Linked DNA regions of Coturnix japonica. The protein of the gene in region 3 interacts with the protein of the main gene of each other region in a pairwise test. Links are inferred from orthologs where the notes say so. Each region holds a gene or a part of one and is shown on either strand. Other genes may lie near its edges.

Evidence for each region. The genes of interacting proteins can lie anywhere in the genome.
Region 1: the proteins of MAPK1IP1L (region 3) and TFG interact in binary tests that used the Homo sapiens proteins (3 or more experiments, as listed by UniProt). The two-hybrid records come from large-scale screens. The link is inferred for Coturnix japonica from reciprocal best matches to the Homo sapiens genes MAPK1IP1L and TFG.
Region 2: the proteins of MAPK1IP1L (region 3) and SS18L1 interact in binary tests that used the Homo sapiens proteins (3 or more experiments, as listed by UniProt). The two-hybrid records come from large-scale screens. The link is inferred for Coturnix japonica from reciprocal best matches to the Homo sapiens genes MAPK1IP1L and SS18L1.

The regions. Positions count from the first base shown.
Region 1 is NC_029516.1:76,120,626-76,125,195, reverse strand, and holds the start of TFG (protein TFG), read right to left. Parts: upstream 2,926-4,570; 5' UTR 2,735-2,925; intron 834-2,734; 5' UTR 725-833; intron 1-724. UniProt on the Homo sapiens protein: Plays a role in the normal dynamic function of the endoplasmic reticulum (ER) and its associated microtubules. Required for secretory cargo traffic from the endoplasmic reticulum to the Golgi apparatus.
Region 2 is NC_029535.1:6,914,554-6,919,180, reverse strand, and holds the start of SS18L1 (calcium-responsive transactivator), read right to left. Parts: upstream 2,926-4,627; 5' UTR 2,804-2,925; coding exon 2,735-2,803; intron 1,150-2,734; coding exon 1,073-1,149; intron 1-1,072. Other genes in the region: PSMA7 (proteasome subunit alpha type-7), read left to right, coding at 3,385-3,480. UniProt on the Homo sapiens protein: Transcriptional activator which is required for calcium-dependent dendritic growth and branching in cortical neurons. Recruits CREB-binding protein (CREBBP) to nuclear bodies.
Region 3 is NC_029520.1:51,137,308-51,141,378, forward strand, and holds part of MAPK1IP1L (MAPK-interacting and spindle-stabilizing protein-like), read right to left. Parts: intron 1,157-4,071; 5' UTR 1,153-1,156; coding exon 1,129-1,152; intron 610-1,128; coding exon 1-609.

The DNA of each region.
Region 1 (4,570 bases), on a different chromosome or scaffold from region 3:
ACCCAACCTGGCCAAAAGGGATGTTGTGCTCAGCAAAAAAAAGCTGAGAGAAAGGAATAAAGCTGAGGGGAGACATCTGAAATGATGGCATTTGTATTCCCAATTGTTACATGTGATGAGCCCTGCTTTCCTTGAGGTGGCTGAACACCTGCCTGCTAATGAAGCAGGAAGTAGAAAATACATTTCTTGCTTTGCTTTGGTTGTGTGTATGGCTTTTGCTTTACCTAGCAGAATGTCTTCATCTCAAACCACGAGTCCACGGGATTTTTCCTTTCTGATTCTCTCCCCACTCCCATCTTCAGAGTGTAACTTAGCAGCTGTGAGGTGCTGAGCTGCCTGACAGGGTTAAACTACAGCAAAGACAAACACCCACCGAGCAAAACTCATTCTCTTAAAAGAACAAGAGGTAGGTGGATAAAGAGAAATTCAGTCTAACTGCAGAGAAAAAGGACCTGTTATTCACACATCAAGGTAGCTGCAGAGGCACTGATGAAATGGTGAAGCTCATAACAGTGTTAATGCCGGTTAATGTACTATATGCATTTCACAAGTCTTGACTACAGGAACATCAACTGTTTCAGTTCTACTTTGATTCAGCAGAAGTTGGTTTTAAAAGGTTTCTCTGCAGGAGGCTTTTTAGAACAACATTAGCATAAAAAATTAAACGGCATCCATACATGGGTCTTCTTTCAATGTTTTCACTAAACATTTAGCACTATGTTACCTTGTCTGTCTTATTGATGTTGGTTATTGGTCAAGTTTCCTTGTTGTCCTCACTTCAGAACAGTGTCAGGATAAGCCGCCATGCACTAACAGTGGCAGAAAACAGGAAGCTGCATCAGAAAAAAGAAATTAAAAAGCTTTATTTACTGTCAAACTTCTTTAAACACTCTAAAACATTTAAACAAATGTACCTAGTTACAAAAAGCCATTATTTTATCGTATGTAATAATCACGTTTACACTTCTGAGTGCAGTGCAGTTTGAGGTTCAGCTAAATCAGATCCTGAACAAGAGTTTTGATTTCATAATTGAGGAAAGAATGGTGTTCATTTTTCTAAGTTTTTTAAATGCATGTAGGAGCAATATGTTCCTTTGCAGGAGGACAGTGATCTACCCCAGCAGTCTTAAAACGCTCACGCACATGGCCTCCAACTTAAAACCCCAGGTGAAGCTGTATTAATTAATTAAATCTAAGTTAAACTTAGACTGATTCTGCACTATAAAAACCTAGAAATCCATTTCTGGAGTAGAATTAAGCAGTGCATCCTCCAGATAGCACCAGGACACATTACCAGGAGTAACAGAACATTCCCACAAGCAGAAACACTGAACCAGGCAATTTTACACTACAGTCAGAAACACACAATGTTTAAAAATACCATCTGACCCCACTTCAGCTTAGAAGTCTGTTTTTCCTACTGAAAAGAGAGCAGTGATCTGCCTGACATTTATGCAGTCCACCTGCTTGTTACACATGCTCATCATCCACACAGAATCACAATTAGCAGGACAAGGGGAAATGGTTTAAAGTTGAAAGAGGGAAGATTTAGGTTGGATGTTAGGGGGAAGTTCTTCACTAGGAGAGTGGTTAGGTCCTGGAACAGGCTGCCCAGGGAGGTTGTGGGTGCCCCGTCCTTGGAGGTGTTCAAGACCAGGTTGGATGGGGCCCTGGGCAACCTGATCTAGTAAATGTGTATGTTTGGTGGCCCTGCCAGGCAGGGGGGTTGGAACTACATGATCCTTGAGGTCCCTTCCAACCCGGGTCATTCTGTGATTCTGTGACTGCTCCCCTCCCTCTTTCTTCCCTAGCATGAAACACCCACCTCTTCCAAGGGCTGAGCTCACTGCTAACAGGGCGAGGGTAAGGCTGTGTTGACACACTACACAGGTGAACCATGACATGACAACACTGCTTTTCTGACTCCTCACACACACCTTGTGAAATGAGTGACACACAGAGATGGGGCTACTCTTGCTGATCTTACTACAGCTCCGAGTACAATTTAACGTGCTGAACGAGTACAGAAAATGCATCTACAAGTGGATTAAAAGAGTTCATTTAACTTGCACCTCACATGGTTTAAACATCACAGCTGGACACTGGTTTGGCTTCTTTAGCATTACAGTGCAGTTTGCTTTGAAACAACAACTAAAAACAGCACCTCATCAGTCATTGTGCTGCCACATTTCAGGGGACACACCTGAGCAGCTGTAGCCTTTGGAACGCATCACTTGTATCTTTGTGCAAGGAAACTAGCTTGCTGCTGTAACATACTTACATAATTACATTGTCTTACTCACCAACATCACTCACATTAATACACTGCACGTCTAGCAAAGAGTAAGAAAAGATAACAGAAAAACACTGGAACGCACTATTTTTTTTTCTTCTTTTCTGTTTGTTATTTTTTTTGCCCAAGCATCCTCCGCTTGGCTTGGGTTAGAAGAGACTCCCAACGCTACACCTGCTCGCAGCCGTCGCATAAAACAACCCGCAAGGTTTCAAAGCACAAAATCGCACAGCATTCCGGCTTCCCCTCCCCACAACGTGACACAGCTGGATGGATCACGGCGAGGCAGGCCCGGTGCACGGAGCGGGGCCCGCTGACCAAGGCCCGCCAGCCAACGCGGTTCAACGCGGCCCGGAGCCTCCCTGAGGCGAGGCCGGTTGAACGCGAGGGGTCTCCCAGCCCCGGAGCCCCCCGGCCCAACGCCCCAGCCGCCGCCCTCACCCGCCCCGCAGCGCCTGACCCCGAGGCGAGGGTGGGCCCGTTGTCTTACTCTGGCTCCCGCGTGGTCCTGCCGGCGGAGGCCCAGGCGCTTTCCGAGCCTGGACACAACCACCGCCACCCGTACGTGGCACAAGAGAGAAGGGGCGGCCGGAACGCTGCCGCTGCCGGGCCTGCGCGCTGCGGCCGCATGCGCACTGCGGACACCGGACCGCCGCCACGCGGGGAGGGGGGAGGAGGCGGTGGCTCGTCTGTTTCACACAGGGAGTGGTGACGCACTGGAACAGGCTGCCCAAGGAGGCTGTGGATGCCCCATCCCTGCAGGCATTCAAGGCCAGGCTGGATGTGGCTCTGGGCAGCCTGGGCTGCTGGTTGGTGACCCTGAACGTAGCAGAGGGTTGGAACTACATGAGCATTGTAATCCTTTTCAGCCCAGGCCATTCTTTACAAGTCTTTGCTGACAGAAGGAAAACTGCCAGCGAAACTTCAACCTTGGATGTGGGGAGAACAAATTTGAGGCTGCTGAGGGATCTAGCTGGCAGGATTCCATGGGAAAATGAATCTGAAGTTAATGGGTCCATCATACAAGAAGTCTGGTAGATAAGTATGAGAACATAATTAGAAATAATTAGTCCATTTTCAATGTAAAGAAATATGTATCATCTCTTCAGTTTTAGTAACATAGGGAAGAGGTCTGGAAGACAGGACCTTTGTGTCCATTACAAGTACAAGCTGTCATTTTTCATACCTTTGAATAGACAATTCATAGAATCATAGAATCATAGAAAGAATCATAGAATCATAGAATCATAGAATGGCCTGGGTTGAAAAGGACCACAATGGTCATGTAGTTCCAACCCCCTGCTATGTGCAGGGTCACCAACCACCAGACCAGGCTGCCCAGAGCCACATCCAGCCTGACCTCGAATGCCTCCAGGGATGGAGCATCCACAGCCTCCTTGGGCAACCTGTTCCAGTGCGTCACCACCCTCTGCTTGAAAAACTTCCTCCTAATATCAAACCTAAACCTCCCCTGTCTCAGTTTAAAACCATTCTCCCTTGTCCAAATCAATCTTCCTCCATAATATTTCTTTATCAAAGGAGCTTTTTCCCTGTGTTAACAAGGAGAAACTTCCTGAACTTAAAGCACACATATCACAAAGAATGCCAAAGTTCACTACATTATTAAGATTAGTATATTCCACGTGTATAGATAAGAGTTGAACTATTGAGCCTACAAGAATTAAGCATATAACCGGAAAAGGCTAAATTTTGCTTTGCTTCAATTCTATAATTAAGATCACTTGGAAAAGGGGAAAAAAGAAAAAAAATAGAAAAAAAAACATAAAAATTATAATTTTCAATATTTTTTATGCTGGAAGTTTTTTCTTTTAGTTCTGACATCCTTGGTACTTGCTCTAAAGTGTTTTGCTAGTATCTAAAAGCATTCAAAACAGTGTGTTTGATGTGATTAGTTAAAAGTCAACATTTTGCAATCCAGTATTATATATACTTTGGTTGTAGTTTTTGTGTGTGCATGTTTGGGTTTTTTGTTTTTGCGTTTTTGGTATAATATGGGAATAATGTATTTATTAAGCTTTTAAAAAGATCTGTATTCAAAATTAAATGGGATTTGGAGAACAAGAAAGTGCTATTATTCTTTGAAGGAGCCACCCTCACAATATCATAGCTGTTTTTGACAGCATGATCGTCCTTCCTAAACCACATAATAATTGCTAAAGCTAAAGGAGTCAGCAAAGACAGGTGTTACAAATTGGATTTACACATATTTATTATGCAACCTGAAACATACATAACCTGTCAAAAAAAAAAAAAAAA
Region 2 (4,627 bases), on a different chromosome or scaffold from region 3:
AACATTCCAATTTCTTTCCTTTCTTTTTTTGCTATGCTCAAACAGTTCATTACATTACATGATCCCCCTTTATGTCTGTCAAAGAAAACAGTGACCATCCTGACCTATATCTGTGCTGTAAACAGTGACCATCCTGACCTATATCTGTGCTGCTGTGCTTTTCAACAGCGTGTTCAACACTCCTTTGACCAACAGGTAAACACGTGAGAAGCAGGAGGTAAAACACACACTGCTTTGCAAGCACATGGAGCGCGCTGTGCAGTGGGAGCTCAGGCTTGAGAACTGACATGGGGTCAGCAGCCTGAACAACCAGCCATAGATTCTTCCTCTGTCTAACCATGGTCCTATTTGCAATGCCATTCCATAACCCAAAAGCTGTTTGCCCTGTCAACAAGCTGAGAAGAACAAGATTTGTTCAAGAGTGCTTTAACTGGAGTGTTTACTCAAGTCAGCAGCACCTGAAGCATCTCTGCTTCTTCACAGTTCTCCATGAACTGGAAAAGTTCATACAGAAGAACAGGGGGGCATCCAAAAGCAAACTACAGATGTACCACTGTGCAAAGTGAAGAGTCAAACCTGGGGAGTGTGAGAAGAAAGTAAGAGAAAATCTTTTTTAACATGTTTTTTTTCCTTCTGATCAGGGAAAAACGTGTGGGAAGTAGTAAAATGGCAAATATGAAGCCAAGGTTGTGAAATGAATGCAAAATCATGGGACGTGGTGTCTCCTCCCAAAGGCACACAGACACACAGCACTGCCTGCCTTGCAGATACGTTCTGTGATCCTCATTGCTCGAAATCTTCAGTGGCTTTAAGTTCCAAGCAGGAGGTGAAGACATTGTCATGACTCTCCAAACTTAATAAATAATCTGTTAAATATATTCTAAATACTAAATTCTCAAACACTCTTGGGGGGGAAAAACCCAACCCTCCATCCCAAGAACAAGATATATTTTGTAATAGAGGCCAATCTAATGAATCAGTCCAAGCATTTCCTCACTGACAGCACTGCTCATAGTACAGCCCTAGAGAAAAAGCACACCAAAAAACACAGCCCGAAACTCATCATACTCACTGAGTGCATTCTGCAGTTTTCCCCTTGCTCTGATAATCCATAATACATTGTATTAGGTGGTGATTTTCATCTAACATCTGCATAAAAGAAACACGATCAGAACACGTGAGAATCACATTACAGACCCGTGTTTGTGTCATACTCCACATCTGCTCCCTGTAGCCAATGATGGAGTTCTGGGCACTTTGCTTTGGGATACGACCAGGTACCTGCATAGCACAGCACAGGTCCTTGACCTGCTGGGATGCAGGCGGCCCCGACTTCTGATCTCCACCACCCACAAGAAACAGCAGCTCACTGCCCTACAATCGCTATTTGATGAGCATTTCAAAGCAGCGCCATCACTGCTGTGCGGCCAAAGCTCTGACTTCCAACACATCAGTGATCTCCCGATGGTCGGCAGTGCTGGAATAATTAAAGCTTGCAAAGATTATTGAGTTAATGAATAAAAACGAGCTGCTTTTCTATTACAAACACGAATAACAACGCTCTTGTTTTCCAATGGCATCACAACAGTCTAAATAATTTGCTTTAGTGGGAATCTGTAACGAGCCCAGCATCAGTGCCTGATCTGACCGCTCCATTACACCGAACCAGAACATCCATTCAGTCTGTGCCTGCAAATCCCCAGCTCAGCACCACCAGCTCTGCAAACAGAACCACTGCCAGCAGCCACAGACACCGACTGCCAGCCCCGAAGTCCCACAGCAACAAACGCAGTCACACTCCCCGTGCTCACACGCAGCTCCATCCCTGCTCTGTACCATCCTCCAGCTGTTCTCCCTTGAAGTCATTTATTGGCACCTGAGAATGAGCGGTTTGGCTGTAACACCTCTTGCCGATCCGCTCGTTGCTGGGTTAAACATCAACCCCGCCTCGCTGCCCATCATCACCCGCACCTCGCTGCCACCGCACGGACCGCACGGACAAAACGGCTCCGTGGTGGGGAAGGAGATGACGGGCAGCACAAATGACAGATAGCGCTCAGAGTGAAACATGCACGGACTTTATTGAGTCTCCAGCCGCTTCGTGATACAGTTCCCTTCTGGGAGGGATGGGATGGGGTGAAGGTTCGGCAGGTGCACGCAGCGCCTGTGCCAGCCAACGGGATGGGAAACGAGCACTTCCCAACCGGGAGCCCTGCGGTACCGGAGCTCAGCGCAGAGCAGATCTTCACCACCTTTGTCATTATACACCAATACACACATCACCAGCAGCGGTAACAGCAGGCGAAAAACACCGCTGAGCGCTGCTCCCTCCGGCATCCAAACACAAAACCCTTCCCAATGCCATATCGGATTTTATTTCACCGTCCCCAAACACCGTCAGTAATCACACATTCAACACGCTATTGCGATTTTCCAACGCGTTATTGTGGCTCTTTTTTCCCACCGGCAGCACCCGGCTCATTCCATCCCGTTCCCTCCGGCTCCGCAGCTCCGCTCATCTCCGCTTTGTTCCACCTCCTCCTTCCCCCACCTCTCTCTGTCTCTCTCTCGCCGTCCATCTCCGCATTCCCGGCCATGCACGACTTTCCCTCTCTGCCTCAATCCGCCTCGTTCCATCATCGGCTGCGGGATCGCGGACGGAATCACGTCCAGCATCGCGTCCACCCCGCGGTACAAAGCATGCCGATATGCCGATATGCCGATATGCCGTTACCTTCTGGATAGTTTGCTGGGTCACCTCCCCTTTGCCTCTCGGCCGAGCAGAAGCAAAGGCAACCGACATGGTGGGCTTTATTTTTTTTTACGTGTCTTTAATGTACGGGTCCCGTGCTCTAATAATATTGTTATTATCTCCTGCTATTGCCGGCCCACGATTCTCCGCAGTGCTGGGGCAGGGGAGGTGCCGCACATGGTACGATCTGAGCCCGGCGCACGGCAACGGGCAGAATAACCCGGACCCGAACACAACCCCCCGCACACGGGGCCGGTCCCGGCGGGTCGGAGCGGGTGGAACCGAGGGATGATTATCGGGATATGAGCAGAACCGGCCGCCCCTTGGCCCGCAGCTCTCCCCGCTGCCCGCACATGGTCCGGCCCTGCCGCCCGGTTTCCTGTCGCAGCCGAGCGCCGTCTCCCTCCCTCCGCCGGCCGCCGCCAGCTGCGCCAACTGCGTAACAACCGCCGCCATCTACTCTTAGCGCAGCTTACGCTCGTTGCGCAACGCCCGCTCCTGGCGTAAGGAGCGGCGGATGGAGCTCGGCGGCTGCAGCGTACGGAGTTGGCGTAGGGTGCGCAATCGGCGTAGTGCGGAAGCGGGCGGGGGATGAGTGTGCTGTTTTGAGGGAGGCGGCGCGGCCGGCAGCCATGAGCTACGACCGGGCCATCACCGTGTTCTCTCCGGACGGGCACCTGTTCCAGGTGGAGTACGCACAGGAGGCGGTGAAGAAGGGATCGACTGCGGTGAGTGAAGGGGAGAACGGAGGCGAGGGGATCCCGAGGGGCTGGGGCGGGAGGGAGAGGACGTGAGGGGAAGGAAGGGCCTGAGCACGGAGCGGTGTGGGGAGAGGAGCTGCTGCTGGTCGGTGGGGCTGAGTGTATGGAGCGAGCACAGAGAGATCGGGATGGAGGGATGGATAGAGATGGATAGAGATGGATAGAGATGGAGGGATCCCCGTGTCCATGTGGCGGCTGCCCGGGCCCGAGCCTTGAGGCCAATGCAGCAGCTCTCGCTCCGGCTGTACAGGCTGGGGGAAGAGCTGCTGAGAGGAACCTGGGCGTCCTGGTGGATGATAGATTGACCATGAGCAGCAGTGCGCCCTTGTAGCCAAAAAAGCCAATGGCATAATGGGGTGCATTAAAAAGAGCGTGTCCAGCAGGTCAAAGGAGGTGATCCCCCCCCCTCTACTCTGCCCTGGTGAGGCCTCATCTGGAATATTGTGTCCAGTTCTGGGCTTCCCAGTACAAAGAAGACAGGGATCTCTTGGAAAGAGTCCAGCGGAGGGCCACTAAGATGGTGAAGGGTCTGGAGCATCTTCCCTATGAGGAGAGACTTAGGGAACAGGGTCTGTTTAGCCTTGAGAAAAGAAGGCTGAGAGGGGACTTGATCCAGGTTTATAAATACCTGAGGTGTGGGAGCCATAGTGGTGAGTCTGGTCTCTTTTCAGTAGTGCGTGGGGACAGGACTAGGGGTAATGGGATGAAAGTACAGCATAGGAAGTTCCGCACGAATGTGCGAAAGAACTTTCCAGTGAGGGTGACGGAGCACTGGAACAGGCTGCACAGGGAGGTGGTGGAGTCTCCTTCTCTGGAGATACTTAAGACCCGCCTGGACGCCGACCTGTGTGACATGGTGTAGGGAGCCTGCTTTGGCAGGGGGGTTGGACTCAGTGATCTCTAGAGCTCCCTTCCAACCCCTACAATTCTGTGACTCTGTGATTCTATTTGGGCCCATATCGCTGTGAGCCGCTGGGCTGAGCCGGCCCGGTACCGCCGGGTGTTGTGGTACCGATGAACCTGCACGGCACAGCAGCCCCGGCACTGCAGTATCACATACAGTAAGGAAACAACCCTGTGTTTGGTGTGGCAGCTTTAAAGTGGCTGCAGAGAA
Region 3 (4,071 bases):
TGGAGGAAACGGACCTGGCGGTGAAGGTCCCCACGTTCCAGGTGGGACTGTACCCCATGGTACTGTTGGCGCTGCCCCTGGAGTCTGGGTGGGAGCAGAGTATGGCCCCGGGGGTGGATATGGCATGCTGGGTGCAGGATACTGCCCTCCCATTGTCGGTCCCCATGCTCCAGAGGGCATGGATCCCCACGGCCCAACGGGAGCGGGAGGCGCAGCTGGCTCCGTCGGACCGCCATAAGGTCTTGGAAGCTCTGGAAAGGGCATGTTTGGCGGAGGATACTGCCCCGGTGGGACGGGACCTGGCACTGCTGGGGGTGGATATGGACCTCCGGGAGGAGGGCAAGAGGGTCCGGTAGGAGGAGGAGGAAATGGAGCAGGCGGTCCAGGGGGCATTGAAGGATACATTCCTGTAGGCGGGGGGCCGAAGGGCACGTTGGAAGCAGACGTGTTTGGCGGCAGCGCTGTGGGCCCAGCAGGGGGAGCGCTCGGGTTGTTCCAAGGATTCGATGGCGGCCAACCCTGCGGCGGCTGGGAGGGCTGCTGGCCGGGTTTGGCACTGCTCACTTTGGAGGTTTTAGCAGGAGACTGATCGGGTAAAGCATCTGCCAACTGAGAGAGAGAGCAGTCGTGAGCATGGGAGATACCTGCTGGAGGGGATGGTTGCCCACAGTCACCCACTATCCATATGCATTTCAGTTGCCAGAATGGGAGGAGAAAGAGCTACATGCTGCTGCACAGAGAGCACTACATTCACTTTGTGCAGCTTCTGTCATTAAAGAAGAAGCATCCTGACATGCCACAGCTCTAAAGCCAAAGATAAAAGGCAACCCTCAGCAATAAACAACCCCAGTACAAACCCAGGAAGAAGAATGTGCTGTAAGTTTCCATTGTAGCTACTCCGATGCTATTAGGACAGCACCCCCCTGTGAGAACCACCACAGAAGAGAACCTTCGAGGCACCTGAATTCACACCCGGAGGCCACAGTCTGTTACCTCTGCCCCAGAGCAAAGAGCTGTTAGTGCAATGCCCAGGCAGTCATCTCAGCTGCGCGCTGCCCTTCTTCTCATAGAAGCGTCTGAACAGAACGAAGCAACTGGCACCTTCGGGAACAAAAAGCCATTACTTACCGAAAAATCATCAGTTCCAGACATTATGCTGAAAAGCAAGGTAAAATAAAGTGAAATTCCTTGAAAAGAAAGTACATTGAGGATGAGTTCAGCAAGGATTCAATATCGGTCTCATTCAAACCCAAAGGGACATCCAGCTGGCAGAGCCTCAAACATGGTTCCATCCCATTGACTGGGGTCCATACACACAGCAGCCACCCAAATGCTCTCCCTCAATACGGCCTCCACCTCAGCTCAGATGGGATCCATGCAGTGTTAATGGCTCATAGTATCAATGGCTCAGGACACTAAGATAAACTATTTCAGGTATTCATGCCCAACAAGCAGCCCCTACAGCAATGCCAGCAGGTATCCAGGCTCTTTTCTAAACCAGGAGAAGTTGTTGAAGTCAATGCCCCTAAAATTAAACACCATCACACCCCCATTCGGATCTTATCTTTAGAAGTACTAAATGTGGGTTTTAAATACACTAAAAGTCAGTGGATGCTCCTATTTGCTTCCACTAACTTCAGCTAAGCAGTATTGAATGCAGACAGAAGGAAGGCTGTGCTGCTCTGCTCGTTATTGTGTGCTCTTCCCACTCCCTTTCAGCCCTTCCTTCTCCATGCTGATATGGAGCTGATGCCACTGACCTTTGCTCAGCACCTGCTCCATCCCCTCGTGTATTCTCACTGCTTCTCTTTGAGGTTTCTCCAATGCTTTTGTAGCTCTTAAGATGAATGACAAGAAAGAGCCAGAATGAATCCAAGATGTGAGAGAGCCACTGATTTATACAGTTCCTTAATGACGTTCTGGTTCGCCCTCTATTTCCTGCCCAACACTTAATGTTTGATCTTCTTTTTGTTCACTGCTGAAACTGACTCCTGCAGCAGTACTTTATTCTTCAGTGTTAAGGGTCAGCCCGTCGTTTTATATATGAAGCGATGCGTGTCATTTCACATTCAAGAGCTCTGAATCACATCACATTTATCTCTATGGAATTACGTTTGCCATTTTATTACCTAAGCTTTACTTTCCTGACAGCACCACACATTTCCCAGCAACGATCCCACCAGGCAACCAAAGCCCTGCAGAAACAGAGTGAACTTCATCTGTAGGTGAAGTTATGGGATGGCACAGACCATCTGAGAAACAGATCTACAAGGGACTGGAAAACACTATGGAGAGAGTTAGAACATACGCTGCAAGGGGGAGAGGGAAGAGAGGAGACAGACCCAAAGGGTAACCTGGAAGGAAATCCCATCATCTGTATGAGAAATGGTAATGGAAGCTGAAGTAATGGATGGCTACAGCAGAAAGAGCCCTGCCTGCAAAATGCCAGCAAAAATCCCCCATATTTACCAACCAGCTGATGGTTTCCAAAGGCTTCTGTGCTGTGAAAATTAAGGAAACAATTCTGCTGTGTGGCTGTTAGGAGAAAGCCTGCAGCAAAGAGAAGCTCCTGATAAGATTTAGTGGCTCTCTCACTTTGGCAAGCAGACGGGAGCAACATTTGGCATAACTGAGACAGAGCCAAGCGTGTCAAGGATCCTCCTGCAGACAGGATGGCCCACTTTGGGGACGCTTTTCAAACACCCATTTCATCTGCACGCTGCCACCGTCATTTAATAAAGGAGTCATTCTGGTCCTGGTAGGCACATACAACATACAAACCCATCTAGAATCCATACGCCATCCCAGCTGCACAGCACAACTCCAATCAAGACCTCAGTGGAGCTATCAGTTCTATTACAGGAGCACGGCACGGGGCATCCACGTGCTCAGAAATAGAGTCTGACACTGCTGGACTGGAGACCTCAGGGTCCCCACTGCCAACACACGGGCTCACCATCTCAGAATATACACTGCTGCACTGATGAGGCTTTGAGTGACCGCATGGTTAACAAATGGGCTTGGAGCTCCTGCACTGTATAGAGAAAAGCTGGTCCATGGATCAGACATTTCCTACTGCCATATTTAAGCTCTACTTCAGATTGCGTTTCCTTGGGGCAGAGGGGAAAAGTAGAGTGAATGGAAGGAGGAAGATTCAAGGAGTTTAAGTAACATGGCAGGCAGGAGAAAGACTACTGAACTAACAGCATTAAATCCCAAGTCCTGCTTGCATCCACACTGCTGCAAGACAACATTTCCTTTGTGCTGTGCTGGCCAACGCCCCTGGCAGCACCCTTTGCTTTGCACAAGTGCTCAGCCTGCAGCTCCAGACACAACCCAGGGCCAGAAGCATCAAATCGAAGTGAGGCAAAAGAGCAAAGATGTCTGAGATAAAGCAAAGGACAGGAATGAGGAGCAGAAATCCCCCACCCTTTGCCCTGAACTGAAACTTGACATGGAGGATTTCCAGCACACCTACCCTGAAACTACAGACAAAGCAGCCTGCAGACAAGAGTCCAAGGCCCCCAGGGCAGCCATCAAGTTGCCACTAATCACTGGGATTTAACAACATGTAGGTAAGAATGGCAGGTTATCAGGCAGGACAAAGGCTGAGATGTGCAGCACTGCCAGGCCAATCCTACCTGCAGTACTGAACACCATGTGAATCCATGGCCAGCTTCAGAGAGCTCTGTGAAAACCCCCTGGGGTTGATGCTCCATGTGGCAAATTAAATCCTTCAGCCTCCGCCCTAAAACAGCCCAAAGTGTTTTTTCGGCTCTGAGTCCCCTCTGCTTCCACCAGAACCACATGGAAATGAGCGATGCAGGAGCATTTTTCCCATGCTCTTGCCCTCCCTGGCTTTTCTCCATCACCGGTCCCTGGTGACTGCCATTAGAATGAGCTGCCCCAAACCCTTCTTCCTTCTGTTGCTAAAGCGATTCAAACTGCTTTCATAACTTCATCAGCTGCATGGCACTTTGCTCACTATTGATGTGACAGATTCAGTTCCCATCTCTGAGATCACAGAATATCCCTGGTTGGAAGGGACCTCAAGGATCACGAAGCTCCAAC